Astyanax mexicanus: one gene and its partner. Each later gene encodes a partner of the first gene's protein in a complex. Links are inferred from orthologs where the notes say so. Each region holds a gene or a part of one and is shown on either strand. Other genes may lie near its edges.

Region 1 (7,629 bases):
CTGCAGCAGTCCACAGCACCTTGAGAACTGTGTGTGTGTGTGTGTGTGTGTGTGTGTGTGTGTGTGTGTGTGAATAAGGCTAAATGCTCTATAATAAGGCTGCAGTGGTGCGTCCGCACTGAGAGCAGTCTGGATGTAAACCGTAGGTGAAGGTGGTGCTGACCGGTACTGTTCAGCTGGAACCAAAACACCAGAACCAGCAGTCAGGTATAACTGTGAGTTACACTGTCAAGCTGGGTGTTTATTATCTCTGTGACTTTCAACTCAAATGAAAAGGGTTCATAAATAAAGATGTATCCCTAAAAAAAACACTGCATCACTAAGTAATACTCCTCTAATTAAATAACCACAGCTAAATACTGACCTGCTCTACTTATATTATATTTAGATTCTTTTATTAATATACATTATGCATTTTACTGCCAATATTATTCAAGCCCAGTTTCAGAAATAGCTGGGACACGGATTAAAATATAAACACAAATCTCATAAACCTATATTTTATTCACAATGAAACCCATCAGAATGAAAAAGGCTAGCAGTCAGTACTTGATGCTCGTGATCTTTAGGCTCTCAGGCAGTACTTCGTTAAAAACAGGCTGTACTGAATATGTATCGAAATTAAGAACTGGGTTTTAGAACACTTCCAGAAATTACTGTTCACCATACAATTCATATATATGCAGGTTATAGCTGTACAGCAGAGAAGTAGCCAAATGTCAACACCATGGCTTTCCTTAATGCAGTGCTGGCTGAGGGCCCAAAGATCACCAGCATGCAATACTGACCATTGCCTATGTACCTTTTAAACAAGGATTTCTCCATATTCTCTGAATCTTTTGATAATATTCAAATGAGCTGTAGATGGTGGGATATCCAAAGTCTTTACAAATTTATATTGAGGAACATTTTTCTAAAACTGTTTCACAAATTTTGGATACATTATTTGTGCAGATTGATGAATCTCTGCCCATTTTTGCTTCTGGGAGAATCTGTCTCTCTATAAGACTCTCTTTATATCCATTCCAGAGTTGGTTGTAAATTGCTTCTATTGCAGTACCACTTACTTTTTCAGACTTTTGTTGCCTTGTCTCAACTGTTTTTAGATGTGTTGCTATAATAAGTTCTAAATGAGTTAAAGTTTTTTTTCATGAAATGGTGAAATGTCTCACTTTCAGCATCTGATATGTGTTCTGCATTCTATTGTTAAAGCTCACCTTCCGCGAAAATCCGATTTTTCTTGTTTTTTGTGGAATACAGTAGGTCTCTCCGAGTTGAATGTGTACACCTGCACATTAAACTGTTTTGCAGCCCCCATTGTCTGCAGGAGCTAAGCAAAGAAATCCCCCCTCCCCCCCTCCGAAAAAGGGGTGAATTTTGAATTATCTTTCTGCCTACGTAGGCAGAAACTCACAGACCAGCCCACCTTGGCTCGAGAAACTCCCAGAGGCGGAGCTGAAGCGACGCAACATCACCGCTCATCAGTTAGGAGGTGGGAGGCAGTGAGCGGCAGAGCGGTGGAGGGGCGTCGCAGTGCTCCTAGCCAATCAGAGGAGAGATATTTGCATGCTGTTTGCATGTATGAATATTCATGAGCAAAGCTGGAATCCGGTCATTTTGGACACACCCCTAAAACAGTCCATTAAAAAAGAGCTATACAGAGACACCTGAGCACTTTTTTTTTACAAAAACGGCTCACATGTCATTCATTCATACTAGAGACCACAACTAGACATTTTAAAATGAAAGAAAAAACGACGGAAGGTGAGCTTTAATAAAATGATGGTCTATAAGATTTACAAATAATTCATATTTCATACAGCATCCCAACCTATTAAGAAATTAACAGACTAAAACTTTCAGAAACATCTAACAAAACAAACACTGCAGTACCACAATAAAGCCTGACTTTATTTATTCAAGTACTTGCATTTTTTATTTTAATAAAACAATGGAGCTTAGGATTTCCATGATTAAAGTGATAAAAATGAAAATGACAAATGATTAGCACAATTCTTACCATAATATTGCTTTATGCTTTTTTTTTATAGTAGATACTTACTAATTTATAGTGGACAGTCAATAAGGTATAGTGGATACTGAACTAATTCATAGTGAATTCTGAATATTTATAGAACCTAATGAGTATTTATAATGGATGTTAATAAATTCATAGTAGTTACTAAATAACGCATAGCAGTTACTGAATAATTAATTGTGAATACTGAAAAATCGATAGTCAATACTGCATTTGCAGTGGAAAAGAAATCATTCATAGTGGATGCTTACTTTATGATAATATATTAAACACATTTTAAAGTTGTCCACCAATGTGAATGACCATTTATACAGTTCAGAGTATTCATGGTTATACAAAGAACCTTTGTTTTTTTTATATATATAAAAACTATAAATAACCCATTAAAAGACTGTACATTTCATGCTGTATGGACTGATACATTTTTTTTTTATTTAAATACAGTTAAAGTGACTTTTTAATCGGAAGTTCTATAGAGGAGGCAGAAGGTTCTCGCGGAGTGAAACGTAAACTCTAATCTGAGCTGGTCTGTATAACTTATATTTACACAAGCTTCCACACCAAATCTGCAGTTCACTGTAGTTCTCATTCACTTCAGCAGATTCACTGTGAACAAACAAACAACAAGAAAACAAACAGACAAACAATCAAACAGACAAACAAACTGCTCCAGCTTACCTGTCCACTCAGGTGAGGTTCAATGAGCAGGTATCCAGTTCAGGTGCTTCAGCTCAGGATTCCATCTCCAGCACATCACACACTCTCCTGAAGCGCTCACTCGCTGTGTGTGTGTCCACGCTCCTGCCCCACGCTAATCTCCACACGCTGCTCTACCGAGAGAGAGAGAGAGAGAGAGAGAGAAAGGAGAGAGAGAGTGAGAGAGAGAGAGAAAGGAGAGAGAGAGTGAGAGAGAGAGAGGGAAATGCTTGTCACTCTGATTACCGCTTGGTGGAGACAGCCTCGGCTCCTGTGTGACTTCTGTCTGAGTTATATACACAGTTTTTACACACACACATACTGTAAACCATGATCTACTGCTTTTATATATTTTCTCTATTGAAATTACAGTAGCTCTACTGAGATCTAGACAATACGTACGTTTATTACCTTAAAAAAAAAAATAAATCACTGCCCCTGTTAGTCAGGGGCCGCTATTTCCACTGTAGGGCTAAATTATTATTTTTCGCACTATAAGGCGCACCAGATTATAAGGCGCCCTATCAATGAATGTTTAATTTTTGGTCTATTTCTATACATAAGGTCTCACCTGCTGAATTAGTTACTTAAAACTAATTTAAGTAAAGCTATGCTAAGTAAACAAAACAGTAATTCCTAAAAAATATATTTTAAAGTCAAACAAGCAATGGATGTTAATCTACACAGATTTCCCTACTGAAAACAAACTCTTTATTTGGGTGAGTAAAGCACTTACGTTTATTTACAGAAAGCATAGATTTCCAGATTTCTAGATTTCCACTAAGCGACTTACCGCTAGAGCAAGCCGCAGTCAGTAAGTAGTAAGTAGTAAATTCCGCCCGACAGCTTTACACTGAGGAACCCTTAGTGTTCTGGTAAGCCTGGGCGATATCAGTTAGAGGTTCTTTTCACATAGCTTGTTTTAACACCGTAAACACGCAGGCTACAGTCCAATATACTCACCTCTGAATGGCGAAAGAGCTAGCGCTTAGCACAGTTAGCAGCTAATGTTAATGCTGCTCCAGCAGTGCTAGCCAGAGTTAGCAGCAGGCTACAGGCCAATAATACTCACCTCTGAAAGGGGAAAGAGCTAGTGTTTAGTGTCGTTAGCGGCTAATGCTAATGCTGCTCCAGTCTTACAATACTTGCATGCTTAGCTGGACTTTATTTGGCATTTAACAGTCATGTTAACATTAATTTTATGTCTGATTTAATGTTACAGATTAACATGAAAACAAAAGTAAGTTCAGAACATTTTACGAAATAGTGTTTCTGTAAGACACTGGCTGGCATGAGAAAGTTGAAGAAGGATGCTGTGCTAATGTTATTTACCCAGACAGATAGTTTAGTGAAGTCTGTAAGGAGGACTATAAGTTAGACGAACTACAAGCTTTTTTTTCTACAGTCACTAAGTTAGTAAGTAATTAACTAGCTAGCAAGCTAACACATGATTTTCTAATACAACAAACTTTTAGCCTTTTAGTAAAACAGCTCAGGGAATCTTGCACTTATTACTACTTTCACCATTAATTCAGGAATGTGTGCAAGGTTAGTTGTTCACACAGGCGCTGCCATTTAAACGCTGCCTTGCTGCCTTGGAATTTACGGTTTAGGAGTGTACCCTTAGCCTCGCTTTCATTTTAACATGAGCGTGGAGTGAATAAGGTGCATAAACTAGCTTAGCTGGCAAGAGAAAAATAAAGCTAGCTAGCACCACAACACACATTGCTAGTCGCACACATATCCAGTAATGTTATTCTTACACCAAACTGATAACACTATCAACTAAATGTCACAAGTTAACAAAATCTATAAAAAAATATTCTATACATATTTTATTTTGGTATTTTACTAGCTAAGAAAAAAACTCCTCTCCAGCATTTCTCTTTTTCAGTGTGGAGTAGCTAGCATTAGCTATGTAGCTAGCAAAGCAGTACCACAGAATGGTGACAAGGAGCCAATAAACGGCAAGTGTAGTGAAAATGAAGTTCACACTTACTGTCAATTATTACAGCTCTACAGACACAAACTGACTGATTACCACTTGACTGACCACTAGCATACATCTAAGCTTAAAGACTTGCAGCCTTCCATAGCTGATTTGGAGTGAGTGCCACCTATTGTTCCCACAAACAACTGCAAATTACAAGAAGAAGCCCACAAATGAGTCTTTAATAAAATTGAATTAATGAAGCTAAATAGCTTAAAATACAAATAAAAAAATAGTTACTATCCACTAGGCCAGAATATTCATTCAATTATTGAAAGCAGAATGATGTATTTCACTAAAAATGCAAAGAAAACCTACCCTTTTTTACGGTTTAGGACAACAAAGACTAGCATTACTGCTACTGTGTGCTGACTGGTTGGTGAATTATGGTCATAGCATGTTTAAAAGGCTTTTACCTGTAGTTTAAAAACTTTTAAAAATTACATTTGCCGTGCTGAAACATTTGATGTTGTTCTGTATTGGGAAAATTGTTAAAATTCATATGTACTTAGAAGCGCCCTCTGGTGATCCAACAAACCCGGAAAAGATTCTTAAAGTGGCACTTAACCCCCTGATTTTTGCTGACTTCAGTCTCAGATACAATTTGAAACAGGCTAAAAAAATGGGAGGGGTAGTTTGGGAGGGGCACTGGGTGATGTATGGGTTTAGAGGGCCGGGCGGGGCAGTATGAAGAGCTGATTGGCTGAGCTGCAGCAGCTGCAGTGTGCCTCTGATAACGATGATACCCAGATGGTTGGACGTTATTATTGATTATCTGATCTACATATTGTGATGTGTCTGTGATGTGTGAAGTACATGGACACATCATCCATGCCTATAGCACAATTGAACGTGAGAGGGCGCCGCAGAGGTGGAAATGACCAAAATAAAAGTGTTTTTTGAAAATTAGGAAAAGTTTATAAAAAAATAAAGCAGGACTGGTATGTTTCATTACTTCAAAGGAACACATTTCAGCTATTAAGAAAAAAGTGGTTTAGGCTTTAGTGGGTATTCTCCTCTCTAGAGATTATCTGGCCTGTTTCTATACACTTCAGTTACAAATCATCTAACCTGTTGTAGCTTTATATGCCTATGTACAGTTATAGAGGATATAAAGATGTGCATTTGTCTGTATTATAATAAAACTTGTATCTGAGTTGGAAATAATGAAAAAATGTGGCATTAACAAAGATAATTTCATTTTCATACTGCTGTTTAAAAATGTAATTCACAAAAGAAATATATTTATCTTACAATTCAGCAATGATGCTTTGCAGATTTACAGTAACGTGCTGTTTGAAGGTTCTACAGAGAGTATTTGTTCAATATACATCAGTAATCCTGTAAAATCTACAGAATGTTGCTACATTGTACCCTTGAGATCCTTTTCTTGTCTTATTCTATTTAAAGCATTCATTTTGGCCCTAAGCCAGTTCACCCACTTCTCCCATATTTTTGTAGGAGTGTAAAAGTTGTTGTGCCAATAAATGTATTTTTAAAGTGAAAGTTTCTGGCTGTCATTGCTGCCCTCTCTGTGTGTCTCTGTGTCAGAATGTGTTAGCTTCCAAACACAGACATCAAAGCCTGTCCTCCCTCTCGCTCTCCCCTCCTGAGGGTCTAACTCTGACCAAGGTTTTTACATAACTCTCCCCTCCGTACAGTGTGCGCATCACACAGCTCTGCTCTGTGTGACACTGCACCCCGCTGAGATCTTCTTTCATCTAAATGTCCATTTATATCTTATCAGGACCCAGATTAACTGTACCCCTTACCCAAACCATTCACTGCCCTGTTACCTGAAGGGATTCCTCAGGGATCAATTCTTGGTCCTCTTTCACTGTCAGTATTTACATGGTACCCTTCATGCAAATCTAAATTCTATTATTCTTTAAACCCCTTGGCTCTTTAAACAGTGAAAGAGCTAGCGCGGTTAGCGGCTAATGCTAATTCTGCTCCAGCAGTGCTAGCCGGGGTTAGCAGCAGGCTACAAGCAGATAATACTCAACTCTGATCGGCAAAGGAGCTAGAGGTTGGCGCAGTTAGCGGCTAATGCTAATGCTGCTCCAGCAGTGCTAGCTGGGGTTAGCAGCAGGCTACAAGCAGATAATACTCACCTCGAAAGAGCTAGCACACTCAAAGGAAAGCGCAGTGACCCAGCTCAGACAAATCAGCTAACAGACGCCTGTGCTGACCGACATTACCTTGAGTGTGATGTTGGAAAAGAGCGCCATCTACCACAAAGAGAGAGAGCAAGGCCAACTGTGCTCTCTGAGACTCTGGATGCTGATGGAAAGCAGTATGATCCAGGATTCTAACAAGTTTTACCCTTCTTTAACAAGCAGTACTATTAGTAGTAGTTGTAGAATGAATCATTCATTGGTCCTCTACCATTAATGTCCACTAGTTTCTTATGGGTTTTGCTGCTTTGAGAAAAGAAAATAAATTATTAAAACCTATGTGATTTCTCATTTTTAACTGCACCATTGTTTAACTATTTAACAAAGAGATTATAAATCATTTTTACAAGCGAGTCATGGACTATCCTGTTTTATTACCTGTAAACTTAGTCATTGGCCTCCTACTACTTACAACATACATTTCCCCCCTTATTTAACTCACGTAGTGCCTCGATTACACAAAGGTGTTTCTCACGGGTTGTTTTTTTTTGGTTCCCTGCAATTTACAATATTCATGTTGCCCCTTATCCAAGTCCTTCGGTGCCCCAGTTCTCCACAAGGTGGTTCAGTTAGCAGTGCTTTGTCCCCTTCAGCTTATATAATTGCCTGTTACCCATTAGATAACAGAAATATTATCTGAGAAAAAACTAAAATGTGTGTAGTGAAGAAGGTAAATGAGACGAGTCTGTATGAGCCGTGCATGATATTATAAGTTTAATTTCCGAGTG
Region 2 (7,060 bases), on another chromosome or scaffold:
TGATTTTTTTATTGGAAAAAATAGCTATATTTTTACACAGCCACATGCCAAAATCTATCAAAGACAGTGTAGAAAATCATTGGAATACAGTGTTGATATTTTGTGTCACAAAAAAAAAAACTTTTATGATCTTCTGCTATAGAGAAACAATCATGTTAATTTGGCAGCAATAATTAGGAATTAACAAACAAAACAAGTAGTATATGCATAAGAAAATAAGCATTGTATAAAAATGATAAAGGAAAGAAATTAGTGGTCTTTATGTAGAATTGATACACATGTTCCTTGGCATTACTCAACATCAATCTAAGAAGGAAAAAAAAAGCAAAACAAAAGGCAATGACTGATAAGTGTTTTTAAGTGTAGCTGCATATAGTTCTTGCAAACAATGAATGAATAGGACATCATTTACATATTGACAATCATCTGTACTCACACTGTCACTGTAACACTGCTGCTATATGTAGTAGTTGTTTAGCATTAGTGTTGAACACACAGAACTATTTTTGAAAACATTGAAAATTCACCCCTATGGGGTGTAAAAAATCACCCCAAATCAAATACTCAGTCTGTCTTTGAGATGATGGCTCACTGTTGTTCTTTGGCATTTGGTTGGATTACAGTATATAAAAAAGGACATTCTGTAGTGTGATTATCAAATGACATTCAATGGAGTGTTAGAGATTGCTATTAGTGTGGCATCATGGACTGTCTAACCGCATCCTGCAGAGATTTTCTGGTCACCAGTAGCCTGACTACATCTTCATTCTTTTTTGTTAGCCTTTTACGCGCTTGGTCATGAGTCACCATGGTCATGTCCCAGCCGTTTACCTGTTATAATAAAAAAACATACTGATGATTCAAGAAATTATATTCAGCAATAAGATAACACTATATATAATCACTTAAACATTTCTGTAACAAGAATGTTACAGTTAAAACGTTGTGTGCTATAATGAACAAACAGGTTCTCAACTTTCCAAGTACCATAAACCTTTATAATGTGAACGAATCTTGTCCTTTAAATCATACTGCATCTGAATGTGTGTAGCATTGCAGAAATCAAAGACTATTTCCTTAATGAGGCCAAACTGAATGAGCAAAAACTGACCATATCTAAAAATTCTGCATGCAAGAGCTACTGAATCAACAAAACATAGATAATTTTGTTTAAGAGCTTCAAGTCAAAACGGAAACACAAACAGTAGGTTAATAGCAGCCTCTGGTGGTCAAACTGATCTGAAATAAAAACCACTTTACAGAGCAAAAATAAAACTACTCTTTACCTGTTTTTAAGAGAACATATTTTTCCATGTTAGTATTGTATTTGTAAGAACAAGCCATACCCTAAACATGTGGTGCTAAAATGTCACTGATTATTCAACATTAGTCAACATAAGACATTATTCAGTTGCCCAACCTGCATTATTTTATCTCCCATCATGAGGCCTGCGACCTCTGCTGGACCTCCCTTTGACACCCTTGTGACATAGATGCCCTAAAAAAGCAGAAAATAATATACTTAAACCAAAATAAATTACAATACTTTTAAGTTGTACAACAGTGGTCACCAACCCTGTTCCTGGAGATCTTCAGAGAACTGTCTAATCCTAAATGACCCCATCTGATTCACCATCAGTTAGCTGAATTGACTTTTTTAGAGAAGGAGGGGGTGACCACTTTCAAGGATTTACATACCACTCAGTATATAAGCATTACATTGTATGTCAACTTTATAGAAGAAAAGAGAACAACAGCATGGAAATATATGGGTTTTTTTGCATGACAGCTATAATATCTGAGACGCCTCACCTTGTCTGTCTTGTCTTCTGAGAATGGATTTTGACCTGGGTCTTGATCAATTCCCCCTCCAATGCTAAAACCCAATATTAAATTATCACCGTCTCGTAGTTTTTGAATCTCTATCCTTTGCTGAAACACAAAAGAGGGGTAAAAAAAAAAAAGTTACAGCTTATCTCCAGCACAGTGAAACCAACAACATTAATACCACTCTGCTTGTCCTTATATGGCTATACAGTACTAGCTACCTGTAAGAAATTTACTTAAGCCACACCTAGGCATTACCTGTAATGATGTAATGCTGTACTTATGTTTTAATAAAATGTTTAATTGACTATTAATCCATGGTTTAGCTTCATTGTAAATCTTTATAATTTGTTTTATTCACTAGAAGCGTACGTTTGTCTTTTATTTCATACAAAAAAAAAAAACAGTTCTGGTTCACAGACAGACTCAGCTGTCTATGCATAGCAACTACAGCAAATGCTGATGGATGAAGTGGCTAGCTGTATGTTAGCTAACCTATTCTAGCTAGGCAGCTAACCGAGGCAGTTATTTGATTTATTGCAGGCTAGCTAACTTTTTAACTAAATGAACAACCAGAAACACGTCTCTAATAATATTGAGAGCTTCGTAAAAAAGTACCCACACAGTGAACTAACTCTGAGTAATGTTTGTTAGCTAAACTAGCTACCCGGAACTCTTGTAACACAGAGCGAGCTAATGCTAATGCTGGCTAGGCGGCTAACGTTATTACACGGGGGTACGTTATTTAGCATAGCCAGCGTTAGGTTAGCTTCACTGCAAAGCAACCAAAGTACGTTAACTTTAAATTCCGTAAACGTACGCATTTCCTAATTCACATACAGCAACTACATGATGGTCGTTTACAAAACACGACAAACTGCGCGTTATCTTTGTTTGCAAGTTAAGCTAACTAGTTTCCTTAGTCCAAGGAAAGTCCTCCTCTGTAGTTAGGCTAGCTAAACGCTACAGTAGAGGCGAATGAACAGAGGTGGGCTAGACATTTAACTACCCTATCTGTATCTGAAACCCGGAAACTTTCTCTAGTTTATAATCAAAAGAACTCACCACTACAGCTGTGACAGGCTGTCCCGGTATGAAAGACATATTAAAATGAATGACAGAAGATTTCCTTTCCCTCAACGAGCGAACAATGAACTCTTCTCAGGTTTTTTAGGACCGATGGTCTGCGGTTACACCCATGAATGACAACATGCAGATGACATGCTGGGGGCAGAGCCAGAAAAGGAAAGCTGGAGAAAAGGAGAACTCACTCCTCCTCCTCCTCCTCCTCCTCATTCAGCACTTTCCAAAAGGTTTGTAAAAATACCTTTAGCAAGTTTATATTTAAAATCTGTAATGTTGCATCTGTTTGATTACATCTCTGTGATTATCGCTGTGGCAAAGCACTGGCAAACATTTCAGGTGTTCCAGAAGCATCCAGACGTATAACAGTTATATACAGCTTTGGAAAAAATAAGAGATCACTTAAAAGTTATGAGTTTCTTTGATTTTGCCAAAATGAATCTATGAAATATGATCAAGAGGAAAATGGATGATCACAAGCCATTAAACCAAGCTGAACTGCTTGATTTTTTGCACCAGGAGTGGCATAAAGTTATCCAAAAGCAGTGTGTAAGACTAAAATCTCTGAATCGTTTTGTTATTTCAGCCCATTTTAATTTTCTGCAAATAAATGCTCTAAATGACAATATTTTTATTAGGAATTTGGAAGGAATGTTGCCCGTAGTTAAAATAGCAAAATCAGAGAAACTGATTCAGAAACTGAAGTGGTCTCTAAATATTTTCCAGAGCTGTACATGGGGGGTTTAGTTTGCTGGTACATTGCCTTAAAAGTTTGAGAACTACTGTATTAATTCATCAATGGGTAGAACTGAAGAGAGTGGCCTGTGCGCTGCACAATTGACCCTCCGTTATATTGCTAATCTGGAAACTCAGCTCTTCAGATTTATAAGCTTAACAGCCACGGTGCTCTTTCATTGTTGGGAAGACAAAGCCCCCCTCACACAATCAAGTAAATAAATGCTCAGTACAACAATGGAAGGGCAAAAAGTGACCACACCGCGACCCCAGCTGGTGATGTTTAGCATCACACTATGTTTTAAAGGCCGTGGTAGTGCGACAAATCTTATCAGAGTAATATATAGATCTCATTGCATTTATTTTTTTTGTTCAGAAGTGTTTTGGATTATAATATTGCAGCCACGCCTAGATTTTCTGCAGGAACCTTTTGAAGTTGGAGAAAGCCCTTAAATAATATATATAAATGTTTTTTTTAGAAGGAACTTGTTATCTTAAGGTTCATCAAAGCACCTTAAGGGGTTCCTCCACAGTTTGTAATTGAAAAACCTTAACGAACGTTTAACAGTATGGCTGTAAGAGGAGGCGACGATGTAAATGGTTCTGCTTCTCTGGCATAAATACAGCTCTGGAAAATCTTGCCTTGCCTATAAACTATAGACAACATTTTCTCAAATTCCAACTAAAATATTTTCATTTAGAGCATTTATTTGCAGGAAATGAAAAATGGCTTAAAACTTAAAAACGATGCAAAGGTTTCAGACCTTAAATAATGCCAAGAAAACTTTATGAAGATCATATACTATTTATATAAAGTTTAGAAATCAATATTTGCCTAAAATAACCCGTTTTTTAATCACAGTTTCATGCATCTTGGCATGTTCTCCTCCACCAGTTTTACACACTGCTTTTGGATAACTTTACGCCACTCTTGGTGCCTGGTGCAAACATTTCATCTTCTTCTTGATTATATTCCAGAGGTTTTCAATTTGGTAAAATCAAGGAAACCCATCATTTTTAAATGGTCTCTCTTAAACATATCAATATGAAATTTAGTGATTTCGGTCTGTAGCTGCTCTGAACAAAAGACCTAAAGACACTGAAAGACTATGTATAGCAGGGCCTATATGCGGTTTGTCCAAACACGTGGCCAGCAGGGGGCACAGGGGTATCGCACTTTGGCCTTTCTTTGTGTTTACTGGCCAGCTGCATGATTTTCAGGTCCATGCAGATCCCTGTAGCTGACGAACCACTTTATAGCATTATATTTTACATTTTACCAACTACTACAGCAATTTACACATTTGTGGAAAAACGACTGATTCTGCTGTTCATTGATTTCAGTGATTATTCTGGCACCACTTCACCAACTTCTGTATGCATCTGTTCAGAGAATGGCTTCAGTTTGCACTGCCCTTGTTCTCTAGGGTTTCAGAGCTCCATGTCAGAAATGAGCCAGCAACCATGTGGCTATGTCCAAATCTTTGTGAGAAAAAAATCGAATAAATATATACAGAGATAAGCGCCCCCATACTTAACTGTTAACAGTTCCCAACTGTTAACAATTAAAGGCCTTAGGTTCAAATTATGTCTGCATTTCACTAGACATTGACAATATACTATGGATTTCAGCCGAGCAAAAATTAACAAGTTAAATCATGGCTCATCACATCTCTTTGGTTATTTCATTACACTGCAAAGGGTGATTTCACTGAAAAACAATTCTAGAACAATTCAATTCTTTGATTTTGACATCTTTGCCCATGGCACCATAGCAGTAGATATGTATAACTTGCAAATAAATTGTGAAAACAGTATTAACTCTAAAAATAAATAAAGAATACATTAGTGAAGCGCTGAGTTCATACAACTACATGAACCTCTACTGATTATCTATCTATATATCTTATCTATATTACATTACTTCTACCACCTACATAATATTAAGTAGGTCCCCCTTGTCCCAACACAATCAATCTGACCATTCACGGCATGGACTCCTTGTTCTGGTCCTAAGTTATGAGGTCAGACCTCACATCACCAGAACATACCTGCCTGATGTTTGATGATTTTCTGATCCAGTCATCTAGCCATCAGAATTTGGCTCTTGTCAGAGTGACTCACATTTTCATGTTTGCCGATTTCCTGTTTTAAACACATAATTTCAAGAACTTTGTGCCCAATATATCCATTCCATGACATATGCCACTGTAGATGAAGATGATCAATGAAGATGTTCACCTGTCAGTTGAGCTAATGTTTTGGCTATGTTATTGTATATTTAAATATGTATACTAAAGCGTTCCTCATCGAGTCAGTATCACTTTCATGAATGAAATGACGGCCTCTATTGACAAATGATGCTTCTTGGAATAAGCCTCAAGAAATGTTTAGGGAGATTCATGTTAAACACTCATTTTGTATCTACCTTACTAGTACTTATAATTGCTTACACAAAAAAATGTATGACCCAAACTGTGACTTTTTCCCCTTTTTGTGTAAGATCACAAATGCCATCAACATCATCATCAAATCAAAAAAAAAGTTGTAGCCCAGCCAAAGATCCTCCACAGTGGAGTTTTTGAATGAATATTCTGTCTTTATTATTAGTATGCAAAAATATTGGATATTTTTCATGATTGACAGTATGAAATGTTTGTTTTTTGGACCCAATTATTTAGAGTACACAGAACTATTCCAAAACAATGTGATCATCACAACACATTAATTAACTGATTTTTCAAGTAAGTGGTCAGGCTTCCCAATTTTTTTTTGACATAGCATTGCAGTCCATGACAAAACCTTCATGAGTCTTCATCTAAACTACACTCATTATAATTCATATAGTAATTATTTATAGGGTACCAAGAAATCTCCCGTAATATCTCACGTTTAAAGCTGGACCAACGTCAATCTCACAAACTTGCAGCACCAAGACGTCTCTTCAGGGCTGCCACCCCATCAGTTCATCATGGTTTCTTTTGTTAAAAATCGTGCAATACTTTGTTGATGTTTCTCGTCTGCCGCTGTGCTGATGCACATAAAACATGCCTAAAAAGTCTTGTCTGAAAGTTTTGACGTTGAAGTAAAAAACCTGAGGTATCCCAAACTTGAGTGGCTCGATTAATGCGCCTAAGGACATGTGAGAGCGTACTCACCTTTTCTCCTTCACCATGTACACTAAATGAGCAGAGAGGTGTTGCAGAATATAACACAACATGAACATTCACGCAGCGACTAAGAAATCACGCACTGAGAATCTAGAAAGCCCACACAGAACATGAAAGTCAAGAGTTTAAGTGGGTGACAAGCAGCTCGTCAACTCAATTACTGTCCGGGCACGTAGGGCCAGCTAATTGAGCTGCCTGAGAGCTGCATGTCTCGGATCAGCGTCTCGATGGGCGTCTTTCCAACC

Evidence for each region. Proteins that work in one complex are often made in the same cells at the same time.
Region 2: the proteins of kcnj4 (region 1) and tax1bp3 are in contact, whole or in part, in a crystal structure (PDB 3GJ9), measured with the Homo sapiens proteins. The link is inferred for Astyanax mexicanus from reciprocal best matches to the Homo sapiens genes KCNJ4 and TAX1BP3. Residues at the interface, in NP_004972.1 of Homo sapiens: Arg440, Arg441, Glu442, Ser443, Ala444, Ile445; in NP_055419.1 of Homo sapiens: Leu27, Ile28, Leu29, Gly30, Phe31, Ser32, Ile33, Gly34, Gly35, Asp38, Gln39, Gln43, Asn44, Thr58, Arg59, His90, Asp91, Arg94, Leu97, Thr98.

The regions. Positions count from the first base shown.
Region 1 is NC_064410.1:9,643,011-9,650,639, reverse strand, and holds the start of kcnj4 (ATP-sensitive inward rectifier potassium channel 12), read right to left. Parts: upstream 3,042-7,629; 5' UTR 2,717-3,041; intron 1-2,716. UniProt on the Homo sapiens protein: Inward rectifier potassium channels are characterized by a greater tendency to allow potassium to flow into the cell rather than out of it.
Region 2 is NC_064423.1:19,202,825-19,209,884, forward strand, and holds the start of tax1bp3 (tax1-binding protein 3), read right to left. Parts: upstream 3,057-7,060; 5' UTR 2,932-3,056; coding exon 2,893-2,931; intron 1,933-2,892; coding exon 1,813-1,932; intron 1,499-1,812; coding exon 1,421-1,498; intron 832-1,420; coding exon 691-831; 3' UTR 1-690. Other genes in the region: nr2f6b (nuclear receptor subfamily 2 group F member 6b), read right to left, coding at 6,973-7,060. UniProt on the Homo sapiens protein: May regulate a number of protein-protein interactions by competing for PDZ domain binding sites. Binds CTNNB1 and may thereby act as an inhibitor of the Wnt signaling pathway. Competes with LIN7A for KCNJ4 binding, and thereby promotes KCNJ4 internalization.